Linked DNA regions of Drosophila melanogaster. The protein of the gene in region 1 binds, or shares a complex with, the protein of each later gene. Each region holds a gene or a part of one and is shown in the gene's direction. Other genes may lie near its edges. The genes, in order: MED20, MED18, MED23 and MED8.

Region 1 (6,737 bases):
CAATGTGTCTTTCACAAAATGCCTTTAATAGATTTTAGAAATCATTAGCGAATGTATCTTGACAAAAGTTTGCAAGCATATCGAATGGAAATTTATCTAATTTGTATTATCTAACTCTTGAATACATTTTTAAACGAAATGAAGTGAAAATCGTTGAAGAAACCGTCCAATTAATTTATGCAAATAATGAATCTGCATAGTTTGTAAGTTTTATACGTATATACGCCTTCATATGAACCACAATTAGTTTATAAATTCCCAACACAAATCTCACATAGCCATGTACATGAAGCTACTAAGCGAGAAACAAGGAAATTTTTGTACACAACTTAAGAATGTCGCTCCTTTCCGTACCATAAGAATCGAATCGAATCTCTATGAAGTGTCTTGTGTTTTCTTTTGTAATAAACGAAACCTGAAAATAAATAAAAGTAATGTTTATCCAAATGTGTTTTCTTTTCATGGAATGTGTTGGTACACTTCAGAATTTGTGGATTTGAATATTTTTCCCAAATTCCAGGAATGGGTACAAAAATGTATAAAAATTCAAATTACTTACAAATTTATTATTAATTCAAAGAATAGAATGAAATGGATTACAAGACATTAATATATAAAAATTTATTTAAAATAACAACAGTTTTTTTTAAATAAAAATTAATTTGCTTAGTAAGGCCAAAATAAAATCTTACAATTTCTATGAATTTACCCATGGAAATTATTAATTAAGTTGTTTCATTTCACATTTTATACTAAAAAAGTTAAGGTAAATATATTAAAAATATTGTAGTTATGGAATATAACTAAGCTAAACAAAAACATTTGGATGTGTAGAAACAACTACGTCTTGCGAAAACTTAGTAAAATAGGTGATATCGCCTCCAGGCAGTCCATAATGTCCTTGCGCGACTTGGCGCCCGTAAATACAACCTTTCCGTTGACGAAGATCAGGAGAACGATGCGCGGCTTGACCATGCGATAGATTAGGCCTGGAAACATCTCCGGTTCGTAGGAACTAAACTGCCCGTGCACGTGGTTGAGGTTCTCCAGGCGGATGGGGAAGCGCAGATCAACGGTGGCCACAATATTCTGCAGCTTGTATTCCATGAACTTTACGGGGAATCCCAGCTTCTGCAGGATGCGTGCGAACTTTCGCGATCCAATGTCCGCCTCAATCTCGTTTCGTGCACCCGTGCAGATGACCTTGCCCGTTCGAAAGATTAGCGCTGTGCACCTGGGCGAGTGCATTCGCATGATGACGCCACGAAAGCGCTTGGGCGAGTACTCCGAGTTCCTCGTACGCGAGTTGATTGCCTTGAGGTCCAGTTCACAGTTCACCGAGAAGGTGGCCACGATATTCCTGCAAGTTATGGATGTATCAATGGGTTTCTATTTATTTCATGAAGTGCCTCTGAAAAGTGGTCAACCAACTGCAATCGTATCTCATGTTGTGCATCCTTGGGCTCCACCAGGGCAACGGGCTGTTGCGGCTGCAGGGCTGCGTGCGGATTGGCGGCAGCATTGCTGGTCGCAGCCACATTATCCCTGTCCCTTTCAGCGTCCGCGACTTTAAAGTGAAACTGCATTGCCGAAAATTATAAACAAATCCGCACGCGACGTGGCCAGTGTTGTCCTATTTTATTGCTGACGAAAATTGTATGCCGGTTTGGTATTTTTATTTGTCTAACTTTTCTCATGACTAAAAAGTCAGCACTGGTCACACTGGACGCTTTTAGCTTGCAAGACTTGTAAACAAAATTAATAAAACTAAAAAGCTGACATTATTGCATAAACTATGGGAGTAACTATCCTTCAACCGTATCCCTTACCCGAAGGCAAATCGGGTGCCCACATAATCGATCAGCTGAGCAAGCGTCTGCTCGCCCTGGGCGCCACACATGCCGGTCAATTTCTGGTGGACTGCGAAACGTTCATCTCGACGCCACAGCCGCACAATGGAGCACCTGGACGCGCAGTCCACGTCCTGCACAACTCCGAGTATCCCGCCTCCACGTTCTCGATCATCGACAATGGCACCGGCAAACAAGTGGCCATTGTCGCCGACAATATCTTCGATCTGCTCATGCTCAAGATGACCAACACCTTCACCTCCAAAAAGCAGACCAAAATCGAGTCCCGTGGCGCTCGTTTCGAGTATGGTGACTTTGTTATCAAACTCGGTTCCGTCACCATGATGGAGCACTTCAAGGGCATCCTCATCGAAATCGAGTACAAGTCATGCGTGATTCTGGCCTACTGCTGGGAAATGATACGCGAAATGCTGCAGGGATTCCTCGGCATTGCTGTGAATAAGGACTTTCCCTCCTATTTCGCTCCACAGACAATAATGACGGCAATGGGGCAACAGCAGCTGCATGCCAAGCACAACGACATCTTTGAGCCAATGGACACCGTGAAACAATACCTGGAGCAGTTCACCAACTATAGGAAGCATGTGACTCTTATGGGCGGTATGGGCAGTGGACCGGGTAGCCAACAGGTTGGTCCGAACGTGCATATGTCGCCGGCGGTGGCGGGACTACATCGATCCTGATCCGCCGACGTCAAGCTGGAGCCACCGGATGAGCCTGCAGCCGATTAAGATGTTTAGAAGATAATTTAAACAAAAAAAATATACATATGTCACTAATATTTAATAATTAAATAATCATTATTTTAAAGCTAGCATCACTAGTTTGCTTTACATATTTTAGACGAATAAACAAAACATTTATTAGCTTGTCCAAATACGTTTAAAATATTATAGTTATATATATATATATATATATATTTTGTGCAGTGTACAGTTTTTTTCATATATTGGTTATTCACTACTTTTTTATGTATTTTTAAAACAGCTGATTGGAATAATGATTAAAGCTGTGTGGTATCCCTGCTCGCACGGCATTTTACCGTTAATGAAATCTGGCCACACAGTAGGCCGAGTACTCAGTACTATCGGGCAAATTGACGAGATTATTTAAACAATAATGTCGGCCCACAGCGGCGGAACGGATTGGAATTCCGTTGTTAAAGCCCTGATACTTAACCGTACAGGAGCCTTAAACAAGAACGAAGTTGTTAATTTGCTCAAAGCTATCACGCGATGGTAAGTACAAACGATCATCTAGAACTTTTCGCCTACCGAATGGCGTAGTGAAAAATTTTCTGCTAGTGCAAAAAGTGACTTGCAAAATTAAATATGGCCGCTCCGGTGACGAAATAGCAAAAAGCTTTGAAAATTCTTTAATATCGAGAACTAACAACGCTCTATTCCGATATTTGCATAGCGAACATGACTTTTTCGAGGAGGAAAGCAATTTCACGCAGTTTTACACGGCCTTTGCGGCCCTGGCGGCGGACAAACTTATGCAAATCAAGACAAGTAAGTGCACCCTAATGATTTTTCGCCAAATGAAAACAAAACAAAGAAATGTTTGGCCAAGAATCGAGTGATTCACTTGCGCCAATTCGCGTTCGCTACATTTATCATCTTGGTGCTTTTCAGTTTGCCAGACGCAGATTTGTCAGTTGCACGATGCCACCGCCGTGCTTATCCGGTTTATTATCTATAGACTGCCCAGGGTGTCCGTCTACGAGACCAAGTGGCTCCTGGGCGCCCTCAAGATGCTCTGCGAGGGCCGGGAGTGCCCAGCATCAGCGTCGTCATCCATGTTCGACTACAATGCGGTGGCTAATGTTCTTAAAAGCTGCAAACATCCCGAGTCGACCACCAAGAGCATTATGCCCAGCAGCAGTTCCTCCGGAAGTGGGGCCAGCAACGACAAGGAGTCGCCCAAGTCGGAGATTAAGCGATCCCGGTCGGACCTGTCCTCGGTTATTCTGCAGCAACTGATTGCTCCTTTAGAGCCCGGCAAGATGACTTGGGTTCCACTCAGCGAGGAGGTCACCGACTGCACTGTGAGCAAATAACTTAAACTCCTGTTTTAATAGCTTCCCTAAGATCGGTCATATTTGTCTGTTATTATTATAAATTACTCTTGAATTGAGTAGGTACGGATATATTACACAACTAAACTAAAATGCAATATTCTATCTAATGAAAATATTTATCCTACTCGATCAATTTAGAAGTTGTGTATAACTATTAGCTATGAGCAAATTTATATTTTCTTAAAAACGAGATACGCAATATTAAAAGCTTACTTCTTTCAGGAACAAATCCTGGCGGCCAATGTGGAGTACTTCCAGGAGCAAAACGGAGTGGATACCCTGCTGGATGTGTGTGTGAGCCTGCCCATACTCAATCGATACCGATCCAAATATATGGAGACCATCAACGGCGGTAAATCGCTTTATTTGCCACTGACCCAAGTGGAGGCCACTGCAGTGAAATCGAGCATGAATCACATGCTTACTGATCTGACTATTTTGAGTCAGGCCCAAGCCCTGATCGAGATGCAGCCACTGACTCCCAGTAGAATTGAACGACTATCAATGTGTGGTATTGCTGCGCTATACAATGCTGTGTTGACCTCAATAGCCACCAGTGTTCTCGGTATGAGCCAGGCCAGCAGCTCTCAGAAACAGACTGCATCCACTAGTCAAGGAAGCGGAGTAGGAGGTTCTAGTGGTGGGCAATCCAACAAAGACCATGACGACTTTGAGGATCAGGCCTGTAGCATAGTGAACAAAGCTTTAGAGATCTACTCCAATATTGGTCACATGTTCAAAACTTCGGCCAGGATTCATGTATATCAGAACCATCTCTGCTATGGCAGCTGGCTGCTAATTAGCGGTATACAAGGAGCAATGGGCGCCTCTGGAAGCGGTGGATCTAGCTCGGATTCGGCATCGAAGTCGGCGTCAAAAGCGACCAAGTCTGGTAGTGAGGCTGGAACCGCACCTACTACACCTATTGCCAGAGTCAACCTTTTCAAGGTACAGCAAGGATTTGGAGAACTCAATGCAGCTATTGCTAACCACAGCATTAAATTGCTCTCAGAGCTAATAGAAGATCTAAAGGTTGAAGCCGCATGCGGACAGAGTCTCGAATCCACAGAGCTCCCGGAGCCTGCACAGTTCGATATTTTGCAGAACTACAGTTCGCTGGAGCGGATTGTCCGCGTGCTGAATACAGCCACTCTGCATCAACTTTTCACTTTTCTAGCCACTGTGGCTTATCGCAAGGCATGCACCTTAAAGCGCGCTTCCGCCAAGGATCGTACGGAATGCGAACCCATAAGCTACTCAGATTCTACGACTTATTTCAACGATTCTCTCTCCTGTTCGGACAACTCCGAGGAGGACGATAGTGAGAGTTACCTGGGCCACTGGTTTAAGGAAACTCTTTCTCCAGAAACCCATGATGATAATGCAAACACATCCACACAAGAGCGTGCTGAACAGAAGAGCGCCCTTGTCCCCAAGCTAGATGAGCCACATGAGTATTTAGACTTGGCCGCAGACATATTCTGTTTCCTGGATCAATTTTTGGCCAATCGACATGCCTACATGCAGCGCTATGTAAAGGCAGGCGTTAGTGATCAGCAAATGCTGTTAATGGCAAATATAATCAAAGATTTTGACCGCGACGTGATGCGAAATGAGAGCGATCAGGGGTCGGGAAATGCCCCAGCTGCCAGTGCAGGAGCAGGAACCTCTGCAGGAGCTTCTACCAAGTGGCAGACGTCGATGATTCGATTTTCGGGAGCTGCAGGCCGATATATTCACAATTTGATTTCCACTTCATTGCTGTCCGAGCAATTGCAGTCAAATCTGCTGCAGCACTTGTCTATATCGCCATGGTCTACTGATACAAACACCTGGCCTTTACAAGTTTATCCGAGTACTCTGTCTGTACTGGTGCAAATTCTTTTGCTGAAGCCAACACAAGAGAAGGAAGCCGCCTGCCTGTCCGTGTGGCACCGCCTTATTAACACGTTGGTGGAAGGAGTTTGTTCTTCGAATACCGCCAGTGATTCTGACTATGAAGACCTTAACATTGAGCACGCCCAACTGCTGCTTTTCCTATTTCATTCGCTCAATCTGATGCAAAAGAAATCCATTCTGCTTTTAACGGCTGGCGGTGTTATCCGTTGCGCAGAAGTTTGTCGTGGAATCAGCGAGGATAGACCCGTAAAAAACAGCCAAATTATGCTGCTGTCTCGCTTGCTGCTCTTTTTGGAGTATCTTATGAAGCACTTGTACAATGCGCCTCCGGAATTGCTAGACCAGGTGCGCTGGAATCTTTTTAGTGTGAGCAGCATGCCGGACACCCAAAAGATCACGGATCTGCTAAACTGCCGAACCAAACTGAATTCCTATTGCCGCCATGATATTGAAGAGAATTTCCGCAAGTCGGCCGGCGAATATGGCTCATGTAAGTGGAGAATTTAATCTCCAATTCCAGCGATACTCAACCATCTTGATTTTTTTTTTAGCAATTCGCCCAACTTTTTACTCTCTGGTAATGGGTGATCCCGAGATATCCTACTGGGCTCAGGAATTTAAGCTGGATGGTTTGGCTTGGAACTTTATTCTCTGCACACCGGATAAGCTTAAATATCCGCTACTGGTGGATGCATTGACTGACATACTATCCATCACCGACATGTCAATGTATTCCAAGGAAAAGGACAAGGAAGCGAGCATGCATAATCTTTGCGCTATACAGTATTGCTTTACGATTGCCTGGAAGCTGAATTTGGGTTTGCCGCCCTCTACTTCTCACGTAGAGTCGCTGAAGGCAGAGCGATCACCCAATCTGCACTCAC
Region 2 (6,845 bases), on another chromosome or scaffold:
CACTTTGACGCTCAGTTCCACCACGCTGCTACGCTGGTTAAGTCTGCAAACAATATATATTTATCGAATTCAAGGAGGATATCTGGTTGTCTCTATAAGAATCACCCACTTGCGCTTGTTCATGCACCGGCCGGCAGTGTTGCGCAGCAATTTGGACCAGGTGATGGGCACATCCAGCTCGTTGTTGAACACCTGGGCGTTATACATCTTGTAAAGATGCTGGGCCAGCTGATCCTTATTTCTTGCGAAGTTTTCCCGATAGAAGAAGGCCTCGTTGTCCGCCCTATCGCGGCTCACTTGTCCCTCCAGGGATTTCAGAAAGCCGCACTTGCCGCCGCTCGCAACGGGTGAGAGATCCTTCTGCTTCCTAGGTTTTGGAATCTGCTTAGTGGATTTTGGGGGGGTAGAAACTTTTGGCGGTGCAGATGTTTTGGGCGGAGCAGTGCCTTTAGGCGGAGCCGTTTTTGGCGTAAGCAACTTGAGAATTGGGCTCTCGTGGGGCGTTGTCTGACCTTGCTGCCCAATGCCAAGCTTCTTCTTTACCTCCTGCACTCTCCTGTGGACTGGAGTCCCGGGTAGGTAGTCGCTCTCCAGTTCATCCAGCATGTCCAGGTCCAACGCCCTGTTTACTATCTCCTTAGCTTGGTTATCGTTCTCGAATCCTGCGTTAGGGGTAAAAAGTTGGCGACGAATGTTTGGCTGCTGCACAGGAGTGGCAGGAAGTTTAGCCTTAACGCTGGCGCGACATGATCGCAGTATGTCGTCCAGGCGACGGTGACATTTTGGCGCTAGAATAATGAGTTACTAAAACATTTAAGTCAGCCATTTAAAATACTAATATCAACTCTTACACGGCGAGTCCTGGTCGGGATTGCTGATCACCTCCACCTCGTCTTTGCTCAAGTCGAGATAGGTAAGGTCGCCTCTCTTTTGCTTGTTCTCCTTGTCCTTATCACTGTCGCTATCACTACCGCTTTCGCTAAAAGTGGCATCTGCATCCTCGTCGTCGGAGGCGTCTGTCCCGCTGTCGGAATCTATGAGCTTGCGCCAGCGATCCTCGTCTATATGATTGGTGCGTGGGCGTGTCAACGGCTTTTGAGTCCGCGGACGTCTCTCCGTTTGGACAGCGCGCATCGGAGGCAGACGAGTCGAGTTTAAAGGAGTCTGATTTGTGCGCAGAGGTTTAGTAACTGGGGATTAAAGCGCGTGTGACTCAACGGTTGGAGGATAAAAAGCATGGATAAATTCTTACATATGCTGAAGTCCCCGAGAACACTTTCATCTGGCTTGGGCTTCTTTTTTTTAGCGGTGGTTACCGCTGTTGCTTGAATATTCCTGGGCCTCAGAGGAGCCTGTTTACCGCCACTACCACTGGAGCGCTTTAGAGTGCGGATCACATCTGGTGTCTGCCAAGACTTGCCGTACAATTGATTGAGCAGCTTTTCTGCGTGGGTGAGAAACTGCTCATCCTCGGATGCATCATCCACAGACAGCATGGATTTTTGGTGGCTCTGAGGGTCCTGCTGCTGGTGCTCTTGGTGCTGCACCTCCTCCGAGCTGGGCAGGGACTTAGTGGCCCTGGGCGAAGAGTAATGCTCATCGTCGTCTTCCGCCGAACTTGACTCCATAGTGGGAATGCTGATTTTAATGTTGATCTTCGCTGAAATATTAATACTGCTGACCTGGATAGAACCGTGTTCGTCCCCTCCCGATGTGGAGGAACCAGAGCTGGCCTTTTGCGGCGTGAGCTCGCCCTCGCTGCTGGTTTCCGGTATTTCAATGGATTCATCAGGAACGGGCTCATTGTTGTGAATCGTCGAGTTATGGGTCTCAGAACTATCAGAACACAGGGTGTTGGGCTCGGTGTCATTGTCTGCTAAACGCTTGCTGCTGTATGTGGGCTCAAGCTCCTCCGATCCGAGAGTATTCGCCTCCGTTTCGTCGTCTGCCAACCGCTTGCTGCTATCCAATCGAGTGGCATCTGCTGAGCAGATGGTATTCACCTGCGTATCGTTGTTCGCCAGTTGTGTGCTGTTGTAAATCGGCCTGGTAGTGGGTGGCTGCCAGTCCTCGTCGGTGGGCGACATGGATTCGGTGTCCGCATCGGCTAGACGGGATTGCCGCTGGCTGGAAGAGAGGGGGGGCGGTGTCAATGGGCCATTCCACTCCATCTCGCGTCGCTCTATGGACACATCGCGCAGAAAAGCCTCGATGCGCTGCACTTTTTCGGTTGTGAGCATGGGCTGTGGTATGTCTTCCTGGCCGGGATTAGCCACAATTTCCCGTTCACTCACAGCCATGCTATCGGGAGGCAAGGGTTCTTGCTCATCCTCGCTAGAATCGGATATGGTGATACAGGAGGCGGCGTCGTCGTCGCCGGATACGTTCTCTTCCGTAGTGGAGGAAATGCAAATGGAGATCTCCGGCTTGGCCGAGTGCTCCTCATTTATGGGCTGCACTTTCAAATTGCTGATGCCAGCGGACAGGAGCTCTACATCGCCCACATTTGCCACATCCTGGCTGCAGCCGTCGGCGCTCAGCTGCAAGGCTTCCATGTAGTCGGAATTGTCGAGTTCTGTGTCCTCCGTATTTGCCCCGCAGGACGGAGCGGGTGCTCCCACATTGGCGCGCATGGGAGCTGCTGGCAGTTTCCTTGTTTTCTGGTCGTTCCTCTTTTCTGGATGATCCTTCGGCGCATGGGACACCTGGAGTCGTTTTTTGTGGGAGGATAGCGTCAAATTGGCGAACTTTTGATTGAAGGGAACTTTTACTTTGCTCGGGTCGACCGCATTGAAGAGCCTATACTTATGATCCGCCATTTTGGGGGCGTCGTTGGGGCATTTACGGTAAATCAATCTCTATGAATATGCTTTAAGCAAAATTCGTATTTGCTATTATTCTGTGCGCGTCGATTTACGTTCATCGTTATCGATAGACTATTTGATTTTCCGGCATCTAGCTAGTGCTGTTCGAAAATGTCTAAAACGGCATCACTAGTAAAACGAATTCTTCCAAGGAAATGAAACTAAAAACAAAACCAAACTACTGCTCAGTTAATTTAATACCATAGTACACCCAAACTTACAAAATTAGCCAATGGCGATTGTGTCGTCGGCCCGTGAGTCGCTCTCCCATGCGATGAACAACCGCTTCTTGCCCAACCTGGAGTACTTGCTGCAGGGATCTATCCTGGATTCCGCCGTGGAACACTTGATGCACAGGTGGGAGACCCAGTGTCAGATTTGAATCGTTTGCACCCGACTAACAGTCTAACCGCCTACCCACTATCAGACTAAAGGGACTCTGCGACAATGTGGACACCTCGCCGGAGCCGTTTCACGATCTGGAAGTGTGTATGAGCCTTCGCCAGCCCAATGCCAACCAGCCGCTGCTTCTTCGCGTGCGCCGAGCCCTTGGTCGCGATGCACCCTTTCAGATGCGCTACCTAGGAAACCCCGAGGTGGATCTGCGCCGGCCTACATTGGTACGCAGCTGCATGGACTGCGCCTGCACCAATGGCATTTTGGAATTCCTCACGGAAATGGGCTTCCGCCTGGAGTTCGAGTACATAGCAAAGGGTTGGAATCATGAAATATATTACGCTTGGGTTGCCAAAATGGATAGTGACAAATGGACTTATTTCAGGCTATATGTTCCGCAAGGGGCGCATGAAGATTACCGTCTCCAAGCTCATTAAGATTGTGCCCGGCAAGCAGCAGGACATGGCCAACGAGCCAATCTCACAAAGCTACATAGTGGAACTCTCTGTGGTGGCGCCAACGGGGCAGGAGAATGTCGGCGAGGAAATGCGCGTGTTTGCCGAGCAACTAAAGCCACTCGTGCAGCTCGAGAAGATCGACTACAAGCGACTGGGCGGCATGCCGTAGTTTACAATAAAAGTGCACATCGCATTTATCCAACAGTTATTTAATTTCTTAAATGTAAGAAAATATACAAATTTACAGAAAAGAACCGAGAGGGAATGATTACACTGCCAGAGTAAAAAATATCTCAAATTCAACCTTACACACCCACATGACACGACAACAACGGACTTTCCCAAAGCAGTGATAAAGAAGCTGCGGGGCGGTTAATCCTTAAAGGCCTCATTAAGAGCCGCCAGATTGCGATCGCTCACATAACTCTGGAGATCGCTGCGGCCCATCAGCGAAATGACCATCTTCAGCGTACTCCAAATAGACTCGGACATCTGGTTCTGTCCTCTAAAGGTAGCCGCCATCGCCGCATTGGGCAGCTCTCGGGCGGCGTTAGTGTGAGCCTGCATGGTAAGCGCTGTGAGTAAGTGCTCCACAGCTTCCTTGTAGGCCTTAAGGTTCATGCAACATACGCCCACGTTGTAACGCACACGGATGAAGCCCGGTTGGAGCTGCAGCGCCTGCTGATAAGCCTCCACCGCCTCCACGGAGCGCGAGCCGTTGGCCAAACTGGCCCCCAATCGGTTCCATGTCTTCGCATTTTGGGGATCCACCTGCAGAGCGGACTGGTAGCAGTCCACCGCCTTGTCGAACTCCCCAGATAGATTGTAGAGCACGCCGAGGGCATCCTGGACTTCGGCATCCACCTCCGAAGGGTGCTGTCGAACGGCTTCCAAGTAGATCTGCTGCAGATCGCGCAGCTTACTCGGACCAATCAGCGACGAAGCCAACGAAGTGCCCTCGGCCTGCAGCTCCGGATGGGCTGCGACCAGGTGCTGATACTTGGGATGCACTGTCAGCCAGTTGCACAGCATGCGCACGGCGTTGTTCTGCAGGCCCTCGTTGGTGTAGCACGCGGCCAGGGCCATCAGGACCTGTTGGTTGTCCGGTTGCAAGTCGTAAGCCCGCTTAAGTGCCGCAATGGCCTGGGGATCCATTTCGTTCTCTGTCTGCGAAGTGCCCAGCAACTGCCAGACCTCAGCGCGCTCCGGTTGCTTTTTGGCCGCCACCTCGAAACATAGAACTGCGCTGGGTATATCCCCTTTGGACAGGTACTCCTTACCCTTTTCAAACGGGTTCTCCACATCAGACATGGGGTTGCCCTCGGCGAACTCGTACTCCTTATAAGCGTCCATATTGTCGTTGTACTCCGACAGCCACGGATGCTCGTTCTCGTCGGCCAGCTTCTGCCACTCGTCTTGCAGCCGCTCCCAGAACTTTTCGTTGAAGTTGGCGGCGGTTTGCTCTTTTTGTTCGGTGCTGCGCTGGTAGTCGCTGATCCAGTCGTCCAGCGATTCCCCCTGTGGCGCCTGTGGCAGATGATCTGTGATTATAGTTTCCATGGCGGAGTCAAAGAAGGGGTCCTGTTGCTGTCCTGCCGCAATGGGCATCAAAGGCTGACGCAATGGCGGCAGGGACCGAAAGTTCTGGCTACTGATCAGGGGCTCGTCGAAGAACTCCTGGGCATGCTGCAGGTCCTGCTGCTGTGCCTGCATGTGGATCATCTTGTTGGGCAGGGCGGGTGCCAGTCCGCGGGCAAAGTCCTGTCCCCACTGCTCCGCCTGCTGAGAGTGCATCTGCTGCTGCGGATTTCCGTGAATATTTATGTCCCGCATCTCCTGGAGCAGAGTGTCCATCTGAAATGACTGCGGTGGGGCAGTGACCTGTCCCAGGAACTCGTTGATCAACTGGTCCTCGGGACGAGCAGCGCGCTCGAAGTGTCGCTGCACATAGCCCTCATCCTTGTGGGCAACATCGCGGGTGAACTGTCCGCCCAGTTGCATGAGAGGATTAACTCCACCGCAGTCGCCCTCGACCAATGGGCGGAAAGACATGGTGTTCGAAGTGGAGATGCTACGTAACTGGGGCAACCAACGATAAGAAAAGGGGCCAAATCAGGTCCAAAACAAAAGTCCAAATGTCACAAAGATTACCTGTTTATCGGCCGTTATCGAAGCTATCGGCTTTGTGACAGTGTTGCACAGCGCTCTAATAATAATAAAATATATCGCCGCGCAAAATCTTATCCGCCAGAGAATTGGTTTCGAACGCCAAATCCCCGACTGCACCATGGACTACGACCTTTTTCAGTCGGATGACGAGGAGATCCTGGCTACCTTCATACAGGCGACACAGAAGCAGGAAACCCTGAGCGCGCAAATAGACGTGGACGATAGCGAAGAGGACCTAGTCGACGGTCTACACTTGCCCGAGTTCAACTGCAGTGGCCGAGACACTCTGAAGAGCCAACTGTGCGAGGGAGGCTTTCTGGGGAATGGCTACGCCCAATTGGATCCGCCCCGCTCTCGCCTGGATTATCTCTGTTTTGACTTTGCTCCGGCTCAATTAGCGGTTGGCGCGGTAAGAAACTACCTGTACGGCGAGGCCTGGTGAGTTTAGAGCTCCCCTGGCAGCTGCCAACAAGTACAACTCTTCCATTCTCAGTAAGAATGTGCAGAAGCTGTTAACCGTCGTGATGGGCCAGCAACACCTGCAGGCCACGGCCGCCTCTATGAACTCTGGTTGGTATAGAGTGCGCCAGCAGGTCACACACTTCTACCATCTGATGCTGCTCCTACGAGGCAATGAGCTGCTGCCTTCACATTTTCTTGATGGGTTTCGACAATTGCTCAACGATCAGCTGGATGCGGATACCTGGAAGGTTTTGTATTTTGCGGAGCACAACAAGGGAAACGACTGCCAGGCGCCGGCGTATCACCTGTATCACGGCGTACTGGAGTGGCGTTTTCTGGACCTGCATATACTGTACGCCTCTGGGAATGATCAAGCGTTCCTAGGGCAGCTGGAGCGCACACTCGACGATCTGATCGTTTGTGCTGGACATCACTACCGCAGCAAACATCGCTCGGAGCTCATCCATTCCTCGCCGTTCATGTGTCGCTGCAACAA
Region 3 (11,231 bases), on another chromosome or scaffold:
CGCAGTTCCCCGATTCCAAGTGTTGGGTGGTAGAAATGGAGCAGTCAGGTGGGCGAATGAATGTATTGTCATCGGGCAGCACTTACCACGGAGTGTGTGGTGGTGGAAAACATTGCCAAAACTACAAATTTCAATAAATTACAAGGGCAGGCTCAGGATCGCGGCCAGCAGACGACACAGCTGTAACTTTACTTGACAGCGAAAATGTCATAATCTCGTCGCGTCGTGCGCGTTGCATCCCTGGTTCTGGTGGTGCGCGACTTTCCACCTCTTATCAAAGCACGCGTTCTCCAATTACTGGCAATTTTCAAAAGTGTATTCGTTTGTCGACTGGTGGTTTTGATTTTATTCGATTTTTAATTTGGTTTATATATCTAAACTGCCTCTCCGTACAGTCAACGCTGCTGATAGTGTTGCTAAACTTACATAAATATATAAAATTTTGTATAAATAAAATGAATGATAATCAGCGCAAACTTTGCATTCTATAAAATGTGATTTGTTTACTACTAAGATCAAATGAAAGTCTATTCCAAATTTTACTTATATTGACAACAAATTCCATTGTATCAACTGTAAATGAATGTTGTCTTTGTTATTTAGTTTTAACTTCTTAAAGAAAAAGGTTTTTAACCAGTTTAGGATAGACAAAGAGTCCCTATCGCAACCATCGTGCATAGATCGACCATCACTAGTTCTGGAGATGTGCAGAAGTCACTGGCCCGTTTCGCCGGCGACCAGGGTTGGCAAATCGGCTGCGCCGGTAGTTGGTCCGTTATACATTTCACAAATTCCACATTAAATTGTATCAGCATGGACTCCCCGCTGAACGATGGCTCTCACCATCCACCGCCGCACGCTCCCCACCCCCTGGTGAGTGCTCTACGGTCCTTAAACTGCCACTACCCAAACGTTTGCATCTATTTCAGGCGGACTATCAGTTTTCTGCGGAGGAGGTGAAGGCGTTACGTGAGTGCAACACTGAGTCTTTCTTCCAGCGCAGCCTGCCTTTCGGCACTGGACTGGGCCTGCTGGCCTACTTCGGCGTCAAGAACGGCTATTTGCAGGGACACGTCAAGTACGGCGCCGTGCCCAAGGTCGTGATGGGCGTCATTCTGGGCTACTTTGTGGGCAAGTTCAGTTACCAGCAGAAGTGTGCCGAGAAGATCATGCGCCTACCCAACTCCCATCTGGGCGAGCTGCTGCGTCAGCGTAGACAGGGCGGCGGTGTCATCAGCTCCATCACACCGGACGAGAATCTGGGCAGGGCCTTCACTCTGGCCCCCTTCTCGCCGAGCTCGGCGGACGTGTACAGCGATGAGGCGTATCAGCCCGGGAGGAGCACTTCTCTCAATCTGGACACGGAATCGCGCCCTACTTTGTCCGGCCTTGACGACATCTACCGCCCCACCCTGGACTGTAAGCTCATCTAATTCTTCGCATTCCCTATTATGATTCTGTACATTCTCCTTCCCAGCAGCTGGTTCAATGCTGGAGGCAGAGTTGCCCTTGGAGCCGTCTAAGCCGGGCCAGTCTTACGAGGACCTGCGACGAAGGAACCGAGAAGAGTATTCGAAGCACCAGCAGAGTCCATACTCGCGACCTTACGAACCACCAGTTGCCGTTCAACAGCGACCCGTGGAGCAGGCACAAAGTGAACCCGCTGGAAGGAAGAACCAATACGGCGACTCCTGGACTGATTAAGGTATTGTTATTTTGTTGGACATTAAACGCGCATAAAGTTCTGTGAAAATTCGTTGTCTATTTACATTTTTTTTTGGGGTTGGAATATTCAATTACTTTCTAGCCTGGTCGTAGTTTTCTATGTACCACTTAACCGAGGCGTTGATTGCCGTTTCCAAGTCCGTAAATGCGTAGTCTGGCAGGAAGGAGCGAAGCTTGGCATTAGACGCAGTCTTTTTGTACTGTCCATCCGACTTGCTCGTATCACAGACCAGTCTTCCCTGGAATAAATCAAGTTAATATCTTGCCTTGTCTCAAATTTCGCTTTTTAACCCACATTAAAATTAAATGCTTTTGCAACGGCTTGGGCCACCTCGAAGATCGTCACCTCCTGCACTTCGTCCGCGCTTAGGATGATGGGCTCCACACTTTCGTAGTTCCTGAGCACCCAGATCATCAGCTCCGCCAGGTCCCGGGAGTATACAAACTGCCGTAGTGGCATGCCGCTTCCGAAAACGGTGAACACCTTGTCGTTTTCGGGGACGTCAGTCTTCTCCGTAACCAGCTGGTGCATCCTATAGATCATGCCCGGAATAACGTGGCTGACCTCTGGATTATAGTTGTCGTGGGGACCGAATATGTTGCACGGAATGACCGAGGTGTACACCCGGCCATATTTATCGTGGTAGGCGTGGTTCTGCACGTCTATCAGTCGCTTTGCGTAGGAGTAACCATAATTGGAGGGGTGCGGCGGCCCATTGTGCACCATGGTCTCATCTATGGGGTAGCTGGTTTTGTCCGGAAAAATGCATGTGGACAGGCAGGACACCACCTTCACGCATCCCTGCTCGTGTGCCGTTTGCAGGACATTGTCGTTAATGAGCAGGTTGTTGCGCTAAAAGTGGATTCGCATGAAATGGGTTTTGGAATCATCTGTGAGACCAGGAGCTCACCAAGAAGTCCAGGTTGTTGTTCATGTTGTGGAACAGGCCTCCGACCATTGCAGCCAGATGGATGACATGCGTGGGCTTCTCTCGGGCGAAGAGTGCCTGCGTGGCGGCCAGATTTCTGTGGAGAGAATTTGTTTACGGATACGTTCAATTGAATTTCTTCATGACTTACGTCAAATCTGCATCTTTAGAGCCCGCAAAAAACCATTGCTCGTCCTCTGGGGACTGCTCCTTGATCACAGCCTCCAGGGCCTTGCCCACCAGCCCAGTTCCGCCTGTAACCAGAACTTTCTTCATGATTTTTGTGCGATTCCACAAATCAAGTCAATTAGTTTCTAAAGTAATTTTCGACTCAATGCGACCAGCTGCTTTAAATGCCGGCTAATCAGTCAGTGCTGCCTGCCTGGCGTTTTTAATCTAATCCTTTAGCTATTTCTTGTTATCAGAAAAAGCCACTTTTAGATTCTTTACTAAGCCCCATTTGGTCACACTGTGCCCAGGTAGTTTTTGTTTATGCGGTGTCGGATATGCGAAAAATAATTTAAATGGATATGGAAACGCAAGTTATAGACACCGTTAACGAGTTTCTGGTAATAGTGAAACCCTGCGTCTCCAAAAAATCACCCACTCATCCACGCTCTCCATTTCGCAGAAGGTCGACTCCCTTGACGAGGCGTTCGTTAGCGTCATTGTATTCAAGCCAAACACCGAGCAAGAACGAGCTACCCGCTTCGCCAATGATTTGGGTAGGTAAATGCGTCTGCTGGAACTCGAAAATTGTTAAAAACTATCTGTTTCAGTTACCGCCTTTGGGAACGTGGCGCAGGAGAACCGGGAGCAGGTGCTTCGGCTCTACCTGTTGCGTGCCGCCGGTGCCTCCGGATATCACATCAAAGTGCTGATGGCGGCACTGGTGAAGCTGGTGGACGCACACGTGATCACCGCCAGGATGCTGTGCGACAAGGTGCTGATGTGCGAGAAACTGGACTTCGAGCACAGGACCTTCTGGATCGAGAGCTTCCGGCTGATCAAGCGTGTGATCGTCCAGGTGGACTACAAGGGTGTGCGCGAGATCATGAAGGTATGCCGCGACAAGGCACAATGGTTTCCGCTGAACGTCAACGTTACCTACATGCCACAGCTACTGGCCGTTGAGGATATCCTGCGATTCATCTTTGATCGCAACAATTGCCTGCTGCCCGCCTACTTTATTGCCAACGAGATTATGCGTCCGTTTCCTTACCACTGGAAACTCAACCGGCTGATGACCGACTTTGTCGAAGAGTTCCGCACCACGGCACAAATGGTTTCGATCATTGGACATGCCAGCATGCTTCCCATCGTAGAGCATTTCGGCTATGCCGATCACATGATGAACTCCTGGCGACTGGACCACAATACCCTGAAGTTTAACTTTAAGGGTAGCCTGCCCTACGAGCCAGAGCTGCTCGAAGAGCAGAAGCCCCTACTCCGCTACGTTTTGGAGCAGCCGTACTCAAGGGAAATGGTCTCTCAAATGCTGAACCTGCAAAAGCATCAGAAGCAGCGCTACAATGCCCTGGAAGAGCAGTTGGTTAATCTCATAGTGCAGGCCATGGAGATGACGGAGGCGAATGATGCCACTGCGGGAAGTGGCTTTAACTCCTCAGACGAGCAGATCACGCCCTACGAGTGGATGTGGCTGCATCTCTCTTCGCAACTAATTTACTTTGTGCTCTTTCAGTTCGTAAGCTTTATGCACATAGTGTTGGCGCTCCACGAAAAGGTAGGTCCATGGTGGATGAAATTAATATTTCTTGTAATTAACTACTTTTCACCTATAGCTTTCCAAGTTGGAGCTTCGCAAGGGTCGCGATCAACTTATGTGGATTCTGTTGCAGTTTATATCCGGAAGCATACAGAAAAATCCTGTAAGATCCTGTTCTCCACCTGATTGATCTTATTTTTAATCGCTTTTAATTTTAGATCACCAATTTCCTGCCTGTGTTCAGATTGTTTGACCTACTATATCCCGAGCTAGAGCCTCTTAAGCTGCCAGATATCAATAAATCCTCGATGGTTCGCCATATGGCACCCATTTGCGTTTGGATTCACCTGATGAAGAAGGCACGAGTGGAAAACATGAACATCACCAGACCATTGCCAATTGCACTGAAAAACCACTACGAGTAATACCTCTAACTTCCTTTGGTGTTTAGATACTAACTGCTTAATTCCCAGCTTTCTGCAGCACCTAGTCACGGCTAACACCATGATGAACATGACGCTAGGAAACGACTTCCGCATAATTCTCATCTGCAATGCATACTCAACGAATCAGGAGTACTTCGGGCGTCCCATGGGTCTACTGCTGGATGCCCTAAATGGCACTTCAAAATCTCCAAACGGTGGCCAAATCCCAGCCGTAACTTTTTCGGTCACGGTTCTGGACAGCTTGACGGTGCACAGTAAGATGTCGTTAATCCACAGCTTCGTAACTCAGATGTTAAAACAGGCCCAAAGCAAGGGTCAAGTTCCAGCGGCTGCACTACTGGAAACTTATGCCAGACTTCTGGTTTATACAGAAATCGAGTCGCTCGGTATAAAGGGATTCCTGAGTAAGTACAGCCTGTTGAAGTGATTAAACAATATGTTTATGGTTTTTTTTCCTCCTAAAGGCCAACTGATGCCAACAGTGTTTAAGAACCATGCGTGGGCCATGCTGCACACCTTAATGGAGATGTTTTCGTACCGGCTGCACCATGTTCCTACTCACTACCGGGTCCAATTGCTGTCTCTCCTTCATTCTCTGTCCTCCGTGCCGCAGACAAACAAGATGCAGCTCAATCTCTGGTTAGTTATACGTTTATCGAGTATAGACTTCTTTCTAAGTTCTTCCCTTTGTATAGTTTTGAATCTACTGCACTGCGTCTGATCACCAGCATTGGATCCGCCGAGTTTCAGCCGCAGTTTTCGCGTTACTTTAACGACAAATCTCCCGGAGCAGTGGCGTCTAATGAGAGCGAAGAGCTAAACAGAGTACTTATTCTTACGCTAGCTCGATCCATGCACGTACATGGTGGCGGCGATGAAATGCAGGGATGGTGCAAGGACTTCCTTTCCAACATCATTCAGCACACGCCGCACTCGTGGCCCATGCATTCCCTAGCCTGCTTTCCGCCCGCCTTAAACGAGTACTTTACGCAGAACAACCAACCTCCGGAGAACAAGCAGCAGTTGAAGAAGGCCGTGGAAGAGGAATATCGAACCTGGACGTCGATGACCAACGAGAATGACATAATTGCGCACTTCTTGCGTCCAACTACGAATCCTTTATTCCTTTGCCTTCTGTTCAAAATAATTTGGGAGACGGAGAACATAAGCCCAGTGGCTTACAAGTGCGTAACATTATGATTTAAACACAATCATTTTTTCTGACCATACCTTTTTTTTTAGAATTTTGGAGGGTATAAGCGCGAGAGCCTTGTCCACTCATCTGCGTAAATTTTGTGACTACTTGGTGGCTGAGGTAGCTAGCTCATCGGATGGCCGCGACTTTATTCACAAGTGCGTCGACACCATTAACAACATGATTTGGAAGTTCAACGTTGTGACCATCGATAGGGTTGTGCTTTGCCTGGCTCTGCGAACGCACGAGGGTAACGAGGCTCAAGTCTGCTTTCTCATAATTCAGCTGCTCTTGCTGAAAGCCAGCGAGCTGAGAAATCGTGTTCAGGAGTTCTGCAAGGACAATAATCCTGATCACTGGAAGCAGAGCAACTGGTAAGTTGGACACTTGATTTTGTTAAGAGCACAAAGGCATAGTTGTTATTATTTCTCAGGCAGGACAAACACTTGTCATTCCATCAAAAGTATCCAGAGAAGTTCGCGTTGGACGAGTCAGCTTCACAGATTCCGCTGCCCGTGTACTTCAGCAATGTCTGTCTGCGATTCCTTCCCGTTCTGGATGTGGTAGTGCACAGATTTATCGAACTTACCATTACAAATGTCCACCAGATATTGGGCTTCATTTTGGATCATCTGAGCATACTCTACAAGTTTCACGGTATGTTAAAAGTGGCTTTCGAGAATTTCATAACTTTAAATTACCCTTTAAATTGCAGATCGACCTATAACATATCTGTACAACACCCTCCATTATTATGAGCGAATCTTACGAGACCGCCCTGCGCTAAAGAAGAAACTTGTAAGATTTGTTATGAATATTATATTCCCTTCTTCTAATACACTGTGTTGTTCCAGGTTGGCGCTATCACCAGCGCCTTTAGCGAGATTCGGCCGCCCAACTGGAGTGTTAGTGAGCCGTACAAGGTGTATTTGCAAAGCCAAGACTCGCTGTGGACCCCCGAATTGAGCTACTATATGAGTTTGATCAGGAGACTTGCAGACAGTAAGCTAGGATTTGGGAAAATACTATGATGTGTTCATATATTCATGCGTAACCCCTTTTATTTTGCAGCAATTAGTGGGAAGAATGTATTTTACTCCACCGATTGGCGTTTTAACGAGTTCCCGAATGCGCCAACCCATGCGCTCTATGTGACATGCGTGGAGCTGCTGGGTCTGCCGGTGGCACCGCCACTGGTGGCCAGCAATCTCATCGATGTTATAGTAAGCGGATATGCGGTTATTCCGCAAAAGGACATTCACAGCTACATTAATGCTGTGGGCATTGTTCTGGCTGCCTTGCCTGAGCCCTACTGGAGCGGCATATACGATCGCCTACAGGATATGCTCAACACACCCAATATGCTGAACTGGACCTACAGATTCAATGCTTTCGAGTTGTTTAACTTCAAGACAGTGCGTGAGGCGATGCTAGAAAAGACCTACGCCGTGGTGTTGGCAGTAGCTCACTCAGTGTTCCATCACATGGGCGCCTTTAAGCTGGCGGCAATGACCAGGTACCTCAAGGAGAAGCTAAAGCCGTGCGTGCGAACCGAACAACAATTGCTGTATTTGTGCCACGTTTTTGGCCCCTTCCTGCAACGAATAGAGTTGGAAAAACCGAACGCTGTGGCTGGCATAGCCGTGTTGCTTTACGAAATTCTTGAGATCGTGGACAAGCATCATGGTCCGAAGCCTCTGCAGTACATGGACCAGATCTGCGATTTCCTGTAAGCAAATCCACAAAATCGCATGAAAGGGTACTAAACAAATGTGTTTGTATCATTTCAGCTATCACATTAAGTATATACATGTGGGTAATATCATTAAGAACGAATCGGAAGCCATCATTAAGCGGCTACGGCCCCTGCTGCAAATGCGCCTGAGGTTCATAACCCACCTTAACTTGGAGGATATTCACACTGAAAAGATGTAAGGGCCATTTAATTCAAACTCTACTTCGGTTTAAACATAACTTTTCCAATTTCAGCAACGACAATACCAGCAATAATGCAATAACCAGCCAAACGCAGTCTCCAATGCAAACACAGCATCAGCAGCAGCCGCAGCAACCACATCAGCAACAACAGCAGCAACAACAACAGCAACAGCAGCAGCAGCAGCAGCAACAGCAGCAACAACAGATGCAGCAGCAACAAATCAACGCAGTACAAACAACCAGCGTTCCCTTGGGCAGCGGTGGCAACCTACAGCAGCAGCAGCAAATCAACCAGCAGCAACAAATGTATATGCAGCACATGCAGCAGCATCAGCACATGCAAAACATGCGCCACAATTAGACTTTGTGGGACTCCCAAGTCAGTTCAAGCTGACATAACGACATAAGCCTAATTTATAGTAGTATTATCTTATATTTTATCGCTTATTGCATTATTCATTTTCCATTGAATGTGTAAACAGTTCTCAGATATGTTTAAGTTAGATACTAAGGGAACTTTTTGTAAGTCACAGCTGTCGGCCCAAGTCCTCCCTCCAGCTTTACAATCAAAAGCTTGACTTAATAAGCCCAGCTTAAAGCTCTTCGTAGATAACCTGTAGTTGGTGATCTTGTCCACCTCGAGCGCCGTTCTCAGTTGTGATCGCAGAGCACTGCGATGTATGCGCTTCCGGGAATCCAGATTCTGTTGCTGATTGCTTCAGTCAGCGTGGTGACCGAGTACTGCGACAATGGAACGGGCGAGTGCAAGGAGCTGACGCCCTCCGACTGTCCAGTGATATTCTACAACCAGCACCTGATCGGAGCCGAAGTCAAGTACTGCGACGAGTTCAACGACATTGTCTGCTGTCCCATACCGCTGGATCACCAGAATCTGAAGCCAGCCGAACAGACGAGGCCTTTTGAGAAGCGTGAGGAGTGACTGCAACAATTCCCTTCGATTGATGGAATTTGAATATTCGTTTTTTTTTTTTAGAGTGCAAGCAATACAACGAGGTCAGATCCGCCTGCCAGTCCACGCCCTTCATCGTGGGCGGCACAAAGGCATCCGGTAAAGAGTTTCCCTTCATGGCCCTAATCGGCACTCATCGGCCCAACAAGTCCAAGTCGGACATCAATTGGGATTGTGGTGGATCCGTGGTGCATCCCAAATTCGTACTGACTGCGGCGCATTGCCTGGAGACGGATGAGTAAGTATTCTCTGGGATTCTCTTGAGTGATACTCCTTCCATATGTGTACTTTTAATTGTCAGATCGAAGGCCGAGCGACTGGACCCAAACTTTGATTCGCCCAAATTTGTAGTTCGCCTGGGGGAGCTGGACTACAACAGCACCACCGATGATGCTCTGGTTCAGGACTTTCGGGTGGTCAACTATGTGGTGCACCCTGGATATGATACTGAAGACGAAGAGCAGGGCTTTAAAAACGATATTGCCCTGGTGGAACTGGATCGGAAGGCTGAGTTCAACGACCATGTGGCAGCGGTATGCCTTCCGCCAGACAGCGGCAACGATGTTCAGCAGGTCACAGCCGCCGGCTGGGGATTTACCGCGGACGGTGTGAAGTCCTCGCACCTGCTGAAGGTCAACCTCCAGCGATTCAGTGACGAGGTGTGCCAGAAGCGCCTGCGTTTCAGCATCGATACACGCACCCAGTTCTGTGCCGGCTCAATGTCCAGCCAAGCGGACACCTGCAACGGTGACTCCGGCGGACCTATATTCGTCCAGCATCCGCTCTATCCGTGCCTGAAGCAGGTCATAGGGATTGTCTCATATGGATTAGTTTGTGGCTCCCAAGGACTCCCGAGTGTCTATACCAAAGTCCACCTCTACACCGACTGGATCGAGAGCATCGTGTGGGGCAATTGACAGTTAGGAGTCGTAATATAACAAAAAAAGGATAGTTTAAAAAATAAAAATATTTCAAATAAATCAAATTACCTTGAAATGTTTATGATTTCAAAGCATATCAGCGACGTTGGGGCCCTGAAACCTCGGCGTTGCCAGATCCGGAGAGAAATTATCGCAGAGCAGAGTAAACAAAATGTATGATTTTAAATTTGAAGCAGTCTTGTTTTTCTTTAATTTTTTTTAGGTAAATTTTCGAAATTGCTCTTCTAAGCCAAAGCCTATATTCCAATTGCAAGGCTATTTTATAATTTTGCCTAATGACCAATAATGTAGCATAATTTATTTATAATAAAATCCAAAACAAGATCATATCAACAATAAAAATACCAGATTCAATCATTATTTAATTTAATATGATCCAAAATGTAAAAAGTCAAAATCAACAAAAAAAAATACCATTCAGGTGAGAGCGCTGAGCTCGGCTCACCTGCAATCCGCTCCCATCCGATCCAATCGTCAGTTTCGATCGAGACGCACTGGAGTGCGGACGTGTGGTGCGCTTGAGTCTGCGATTTCCTGCTGCGCTTTGCGGTGTCGTCGCATTTTTCGTGCCTTCCGGAGCGTGGATCCCCTGCATTTTTGTGGTCGTTGTGCAAGTGCGCGGCAGTCACGTACAGCCGTTGCAACAAAATACGAGAAATCAAAAACACATCGTAACAGACGAACAAATCCGCCAGAAGTAAGCAAATCAATGTGGCAAATAGTGTACCTTCGATGCGCGCTCGCTGATTGATTAACACATCACCTCCCTCCCACACACGAAGGCAAAAGCCGTGTGTAAAGTACTCAGTACTCGTACTTACCTGTGGGTGCAATCCGCTGCAATTGGAATTGCAACTGCACGGTGTGCATCCCCAGCGGAGAACGCTGAAGAAACCAAATAAAAAAAAAATAAAAGAGTTTAAAGTGCCGCGGCTGCATTGTTTTGACTTTGATCGTGTGTCGTGCTCTCCACCACCCCTCATCCGCCATCAGCCATCCGCCCCGTTGCCCCTCGACGCAGCGCGTGCGTGTTGCAACTTTTGATTAGCTTTGGATTCCGATTCGGATTGGGATCTCGCGGTGCAGTGCGCTTGCGTTTTTCGTAACTTATCGCCGCCCACATCTTAACTGGCATTTGCCACGGCGGCTCGTTCTCCTCCTTCAGGTGAGTTCCCTTGGAATGCATACTCCTCGAACTCGAAGGCATTTATACAAGCATAAGTCAGGATGGATCAGTAAGCCATGGGCTCAGTATTAATATTAAATAGTTGTCTCTATATAAACTTGCACTTTAAATAGGCAATGTTGTTTTGGAAGCAATCTTTTAAATGATATAGCCTTGCTAATATTTTAAGCTTTAC
Region 4 (6,475 bases), on another chromosome or scaffold:
GTGCTTGGCTTTTAATTATATTGATTATCAAAATATAAGTTGACAAGTGCAGTTTCATACATTTTAAATGTACAAACGGGGGAAGTTGGGATGAGGAAATGATTAAGATACAACGAGAAGGAAGGAAATAGTAGGTCAAGTAAATGAGCTGAATTGGAAGTTGGGAATTAAAAGAATTAATGAAATGATTCAAATGATAGGGGCACTCAATTCAAGCGCTGAGTTACCGGCAGCTTTTTGCGCCGTCTTCGCAATTGCTGACTGCGATCCCAGTACTCATAGTAGCGTTCCTGTTTCAACCATTCCTGATATTTATACCACCACTCCTCCCACTTGATATAGTCCTAAAAGATATAGATAAATGTTACCATTTGTACTGGACTGCGGATAAAATCGTCACTTACCTTCAGGTCCAAGTCTCTTAGGTAACCACGACTCTTGTAGTACTCGTAACGGACGCGCACATCGTCCCACGACAGCATTCCCGACGGTGCTGTGGTGGCTAACTCCTCCGGAAAGTGCCCGGCCGGTGCCGGCGAATACGAATAGCGACGCGGCGGCGACTCCAGGCCCTCCTCAATCATTACTTTGAGGGCCCCACCGGCGGAGTCTTTGGTGATGCGCATGTTCTCCATGTTGCTGCGATCGATGCTCCACTGCGCCATTTTGCCGAATCGATCCGAGAGCGTCAGCCGCGTAGTAGCCGAGAATGTGGGCAACGTGCCGACCTCGTCGCTGTCCGAGCCGTTCGAATCGTCCGAGTCCGAGGAGGAGTTTGCCGCGTTAGCTCCGGTGCCACTGGACGTCCCGCTCGGATGTTTTTTGCGTTTCTCACCTTCAATTTTAATGCGTGGCCTCACCTGATGGAAAATAATATATATGGATTGTTATATTTGGTTTCAAATTTATTTTGACTCTTAGCTTCGGACAATGCTTACCTCCTTTTCCTTCTTCTTCTTTTTTGCCTGTGTTGTAGGTGCTGCAGCTGGCGCTGACGCCGGCTCTGGTGGCTCTGGCGGGCGGTGCTTAAGACGCGGATCTTCCGGCGGAGGCGAATGGCGCGAGGACCGCGCGATCTTCATGTGGGTGTCCGACGAGGCGACACGTTCATGCCCGATGTGACGCATCTTCGCCTGGCGATACTTCTCCATGGCGGAAACCGAACTGCCTCCACCTCCGCGCACGGGCGGTGGAGTGGTGGGGCGACCATGGATACGGCCATGTGATTCCGACGGAGGGGGCGGAGGCGCCCCCGAACGATAATGGCCACGTGGCTTGGGTGGCGGCGAGCGCGGACCGCGGGATCTTTAAGATGGAAAAAAAAAAGTTTAATAGGAACAAAGAAAACACATTTCATATATCAATACTTACCGAGATCTGTGACGATGACTGGGTGAGCAGAGGGAGCAGGAATCATCGGAGCTGGTGCTCATAGAGCTGTTTGATCGCGAACGCATCGAGTGCTGCAAAGGGACACGGATATATGTATAAATGGTATGGTTCTCACTGACAGAATAATATGTATCACTATCTGGTTGAAAACTCACCCTCGGTGGTGGCGATGGCGGTCGCTTGGAGCGCGGCAGGATATGGGCGACTGGACCTCGCTTCTCCATTGCCGACGACGAGGGCGGAGGAAGCGGTGGAGACCGGCGACGTCCGAGCGGAGAACGCGACGCGTTTGGCTTGCGTCGCAACGACGAGGACGACGAGCCACCACTGGGTTCCGGCGGTGATCGGGGCCTTCCGCCGTGGCCGTTTCCGGGTCGACGCATGAGGGCATCGTGGCTATTGTTGGGCGATCGTGGCATTGGCGGCGAGCGAGGTCCACCACGGCGATCCATGCCACTGTGCATAGCCATGGGCGGTGAACGACGACGCGGAGGTGGTGAAAGCGGTGGCGATTTGCGCAAACGCGACCGACTGCGTGAGTGCGGCGAACGAGAGCGTCCGTAACGCTGCGACGGAGGCGGTGGACCTGGCGGCGGTCCACCTGTGGGCGGATAACGACCGTAGGGCGGTGCTCCACCCTCACGACCTTCGCGACCGTCGCGTTCGCTCTCTCCAGAGCTGCTCTCCCCCTGGATGTACATCTTCTTGTAGCCCGTGTGGCGCCATCGGTTTGGATCCTTCTCCTCTGCCTCGATCAGCTTCTTGTCCCAATAATCGTTGGTGGTGTTGGCGCGCGCCTTCTTCATCACGTTGTCGATCTCGCGTCGCTTTCCAGCGGGTAATGAGGGATCTGCAAGGTTGAGAGGTAAAAGGTAAGCTTCGATTGGCAGGGTGGTGGGCGGTGCTTTGTTCCGGGAAGCCCCTAAGACGGGCTGATGGGTTTATGGGCCCTTAGACATCGCTAATCCCGGCGAGGTAATTGGGTTTTCCCACTTCTATGCAGTTGCTTGCTGGTAGTTGGTAGAAGTTTCAGTTCAGGTACCTGTTATGCGGGCAGCTGTCGGCTGCCTGTCCATGTGCAGTTTTGGATTCAGTTCGGCGCGCCTGCGCGACGCCATCGCGAGATTTCGGATTTCTATCGCTTTGGCAACTATGTATATGTATATATATCGCGCGACAGATATATGTATGTATGTACTCGGGTTTCAATGTTTATTACCCCCAATCGGTTAGGGTTTGGTTTACTGTTTCGGATTCGGTTTGGCGAACGCGACAACACACTTTACCATTTCAAAAACATACACAACAAGCTGCAAATATATTACAATTGAATATAGAAACATGTAAAGAGAGCATTAGAAATGGCTAACACAAAGCAACAACAATATCAGGAGCGGAGTTATACAGAATGGGAATAGAGCGGAGAGACCTGAAAACGCAGAGAGAATCGCGGACGCGCTCCGGCTGTCATTTAACCCATATCACGCCGCGGGGGTCGGGGACCTGTGGTCCCAATCAAAATCGTGCGAGAGAGCCGATTTTTAATCGGCTTGCGCGTATATCTTTTCACATATGCATTTTGAATTTCTTCCATTTTTCACACATACACTCACACCAGCACCAATATATTTGCCTTGTCAGCACGAGAGGAATGCAGAGCGAGACAGAGAGAGAGTGTGAGGCAAAAGTTGGCGATACTCCCGACGGCAGCAACTAAATTTCGAATTTCAGCTCTGGCAATTATGTAAACGATGTAAAACAGGCACTAAAATAATTTGCTTACATTTGGCGACGTTTGCGGGCACGCTTTACGATATTTCGTGAGCTGTTAACGTTTTATTGGCAAATGAAAAACACGGCGTTGCGTTCACTTCAATTTTTCTCGACGGCCATGTTGGTAGTATCGATATGCCGGGGCACAATCGATGGCTTGGCTTCAATAGTCTAAGGACTGTTCAGAGTCTGATGAACTCGAGTCAGTTTATATATTTTAATAATAAATATTGTGTTATTTCAAGAGGCGCTCGTAGTTGAAAACACTATTCGTTTTGGGAATGTTTTATATATTAGACTATTTAAATCATATCATATTGTTTTGACATTATTTTAAGTATGCATTAACGATTCTGCTAATTATTGCAAAAATAAAAGTTATTAGTTCTATTTAAATTAAAACAGAAACAAATAATAACGATCAATTATTAGTTATTGGTGAGCATTAATTCATTTTTTATTGTTCAGTTTCCTTAATTGACCATATGATTTTAATTTTAGGATCTGAATGTAGTGTGGACGCCAGTTTGCTGCTATCGCAAACGTTATCGATAGTACGGTGTTGCAGTATTTTATTACACCCGACTAACAAATGATAATAAGCAGATCCACGGTCACACTTTCCACTTTGTGTCCATCCGACTGAAGTTAAAAATAATAGTTTAATTGGGAGTTTCCAAAATGCAGCGCGACGAAAAGCTTTTTGAGCTGACGCTGGATACGGTCCTTCAGCGTCTGAACGACCTGAAGCTGGCGGTTCTCTCGATGATCCAAAAACTTGAGCTAGAGTACGAGACCATCAACTGGCCGACTTTCCTGGACAACTTTGCCATTATCTCAAGTCACTTGACGGGATTGACGAAAATCTTGGCAAAGGAGCAGTGTCCGCCGCTAAGAAATCGAACGGTCCTGCCCCTTCTGGTCTCCATGGACCGGGATGACACCCTCATCAACATCACAGAGGGTCGGGTGCCAGTCTTTTCACACGACATTGTTCCAGACTATTTGAGAACTCGGCCGGATCCGATTACGGAACAGAAAATGCTGCAGAACGAACAGAAGGCGGCGAACCTCACCAACGACGCTGCCATGAAACAGGTCACTCAATACAACAAGGTCGTCTCCCACGTCCTGGATATGGTCAGCAAAGCGCGCGAGGAGTGGGAAATCGAGAGCTCTTCGCGCACCGGCATCCAGCAGACGAGTAGCATGGCCGACACACAGCTCCTGGTGGCCGCCGTGGGTATGGGAAAAGGACTCAAGCTGACCAACTATGGACCCGGACCTGGCATGATGGTACCGCCTTCAATTCGAGCACCCTCGCCAATGGGTGGACCCGCTATGAGTCCCGGCAACGTGCAGCAGCAGCTGGGAAAGGCGCCATCGGCTGTGAAAACAAACATCAAGTCCGCAAATCAAGTGCATCCGTTCTCTCGATAAAAAACATCAGTTTATTAGCTATTATCGGTTCCATCTGGCGGAATGTTTCGTCGTAATAAGTTATATGTATATTCCTAATTCTAAAACTAGGATTACGCAAACATAAACATGAACAAATTTAAATGGATCGTCTCCTCCGACTCAGACTTCTTATGTTGCTGGCTGTGCGTGCTTCTCATTGATGAGAATCTCGTGCAGCTTAATATCTTTCGGCGTGGAGGTGTCCACCAGCTCCAGGCACAGCGCTCGTCCGCCATCCTTTTGTTTAGTCATTCGCCGCACAATGCCAATAAACTTCTGACCCAGCGACAGTTCCCGGAATCGGACGCAGTTCTCCTTGCTCCATACTACATCAGTCAGTTGTATGCCTGAAAGAAGATCGTTTTTAGTTCTAACGCCAAACTGCTGAAGTTCTCTTGAACTTGCCATAAAGTTGTGCTGGCAATGCCATCTTGGGCAGCTTTCTTAACTCCGGATTTAGAGTTTTCAGTTGATCACAGGCAATTACTCCATCGTCGCCCACGTCGACGAAACGCACGTGTATAATCTCATCGTAAATCTTGTGAATACTTACGCTGCAAGATTAACAGATTTAGTCTGCGTTTTTATTGCAAGACCTGAATAAGTTCTTACCGATGATATACGCCTTCGGAGTCAGGGGCAGCGTAGGCCTCTCCAATGGCCAGTTGTGAAGGCTGCACTCCCTTGGCTGCCGTCTTTTGGCAATGCTCTTGTAAATTCTTCATCAAAGTCTGCAGCTGGTTATAGTATTTGTACGGTTGCACCTGCGGAAGAATCGCACATCATAATCGGAGTCATTAATTTGCTGATGATTGACTTACCGCAAAGTGACCGGGATTGACGGAGAGGGCAACGCGCACCTCGAAATAGGCACCCACTGCCGGAATAGCCTCGTAATCCTTGAGCATGAGAGACGAAAAGGTGCTGCCGGTCGATCTTGCGGATGGTTTCTTCTCTGGCGTCACCGGGGGAGTGGTAGCGACAAGGTCGCTGCTGCTGCTCTGATTCGAGAACACGGAGCTGAAGCTACCGCGTCTGGGCAGCTGGACATTGGAGCTCAGGAGCGTATGATCATACTTCTCCGGATGAATGGAGCTGTGTGGGTGGGGAATCAAGGGTGGGGCGGGAACAAGCCAGATTGGGGGATTGGGAGGCAATTGTTGGTTTCAAGGTTTAAAAAATCTGATTGCTTTCGGGCTTATTGGGTAGTAAAGTACATATGTGTGGCAGCTTAAGAGTATATTTTTCAGATTATATACAAAGATGTGCATGATTTTAGGGTAAGCTTACAAAACGTAGATCGAATTTGTGTTAGCAATAACATATCAAGTCAGTTCCGGTTTATTGAAGCACTTATAGAGATAGCATTAAGCAAAGGATCAATTATATTGTTAATATAAACTTATAGGGCACCAGTCACAATTCAGATGTCGTTGTTTAGGGAGCTTGATGACGATGTGATTAGATGACATTGACCATAATGATATAGAATGAATAGACATTGTACAAAAGCTTCAATAAAGGCACTTACCTAGCCATCTCGAGCTCCAGGCGAAGGCCAATGTTCACGCACATATACATGGACTCCGGATCCTCGCGGATGAATACGTTTACCAGAGGCTTACCACCATCCATGGCCACAACCTTCAGCTGCGGGAGAAAATGGTGTTACGGATTCGACAAGCTTTCAAAACATCCCTTTCATATAAAACACTTACGAGAGCTTCGGTGCGCCAAGGTATCAGACCACGCAGGCGATGAAGCATATGACCTCCGATCTCTGGAACGTCGTGCAGGCGAACGGGTATCGCCTGTGGCGGGAACGTAGCCAGAGCTCTGTTGTTTGCCT

The links.
Region 2: MED20 (region 1) and MED18 share a complex: the UniProt entries of both Drosophila melanogaster proteins name them as parts of the mediator complex.
Region 3: MED20 (region 1) and MED23 share a complex: the UniProt entries of both Drosophila melanogaster proteins name them as parts of the mediator complex.
Region 4: MED20 (region 1) and MED8 share a complex: the UniProt entries of both Drosophila melanogaster proteins name them as parts of the mediator complex.

Annotation. Positions count from the first base shown.
Region 1 is NT_033779.5:8,067,820-8,074,556, reverse strand, and holds MED20 (mediator complex subunit 20), read left to right. Parts: upstream 1-1,708; 5' UTR 1,709-1,795; coding exon 1,796-2,554; coding exon of another isoform or gene 2,555-2,602; 3' UTR 2,603-2,745; downstream 2,746-6,737. Other genes in the region: Trf (TBP-related factor), read right to left, coding at 841-1,360, 1,432-1,586; poe (purity of essence), read left to right, coding at 2,991-3,109, 3,291-3,385, 3,509-3,921, 4,177-6,343, 6,405-6,737. UniProt on the Drosophila melanogaster protein: Component of the Mediator complex, a coactivator involved in the regulated transcription of nearly all RNA polymerase II-dependent genes.
Region 2 is NC_004354.4:1,862,918-1,869,762, forward strand, and holds MED18 (mediator complex subunit 18), read left to right. Parts: upstream 1-2,991; 5' UTR 2,992-3,096; coding exon 3,097-3,221; intron 3,222-3,268; coding exon of another isoform or gene 3,269-3,291; coding exon 3,292-3,578; intron 3,579-3,645; coding exon 3,646-3,887; 3' UTR 3,888-3,970; downstream 3,971-6,845. Other genes in the region: Gcna (germ cell nuclear acidic peptidase), read right to left, coding at 1-43, 110-788, 852-1,190, 1,253-2,819; Pex5 (peroxin 5), read right to left, coding at 4,091-5,797, 5,870-6,007; CG14803 (uncharacterized protein), read left to right, coding at 6,006-6,325, 6,381-6,845. UniProt on the Drosophila melanogaster protein: Component of the Mediator complex, a coactivator involved in the regulated transcription of nearly all RNA polymerase II-dependent genes.
Region 3 is NT_033778.4:22,885,830-22,897,060, forward strand, and holds MED23 (mediator complex subunit 23), read left to right. Parts: upstream 1-3,098; 5' UTR 3,099-3,184; coding exon 3,185-3,223; intron 3,224-3,285; coding exon 3,286-3,379; intron 3,380-3,433; coding exon 3,434-4,398; intron 4,399-4,456; coding exon 4,457-4,543; intron 4,544-4,598; coding exon 4,599-4,801; intron 4,802-4,853; coding exon 4,854-5,230; intron 5,231-5,290; coding exon 5,291-5,465; intron 5,466-5,521; coding exon 5,522-6,010; intron 6,011-6,068; coding exon 6,069-6,395; intron 6,396-6,454; coding exon 6,455-6,678; intron 6,679-6,736; coding exon 6,737-6,819; intron 6,820-6,875; coding exon 6,876-7,023; intron 7,024-7,092; coding exon 7,093-7,750; intron 7,751-7,811; coding exon 7,812-7,952; intron 7,953-8,010; coding exon 8,011-8,320; 3' UTR 8,321-8,596; downstream 8,597-11,231. Other genes in the region: YME1L (YME1 like ATPase), read right to left, coding at 87-113; asrij, read left to right, coding at 814-873, 930-1,419, 1,478-1,704; Gmer (GDP-4-keto-6-deoxy-D-mannose 3,5-epimerase/4-reductase), read right to left, coding at 1,797-1,964, 2,021-2,578, 2,637-2,751, 2,806-2,930; CG3700 (uncharacterized protein), read left to right, coding at 8,636-8,888, 8,954-9,167, 9,231-9,846. UniProt on the Drosophila melanogaster protein: Component of the Mediator complex, a coactivator involved in the regulated transcription of nearly all RNA polymerase II-dependent genes.
Region 4 is NT_033778.4:20,324,094-20,330,568, reverse strand, and holds MED8 (mediator complex subunit 8), read left to right. Parts: upstream 1-3,762; 5' UTR 3,763-3,846; coding exon 3,847-4,605; 3' UTR 4,606-4,725; downstream 4,726-6,475. Other genes in the region: CG8929 (uncharacterized protein), read right to left, coding at 207-344, 405-860, 939-1,305, 1,372-1,463, 1,548-2,242, 2,435-2,510; tapas, read right to left, coding at 4,756-4,973, 5,032-5,180, 5,239-5,390, 5,448-5,721, 6,158-6,276, 6,345-6,475. UniProt on the Drosophila melanogaster protein: Component of the Mediator complex, a coactivator involved in the regulated transcription of nearly all RNA polymerase II-dependent genes.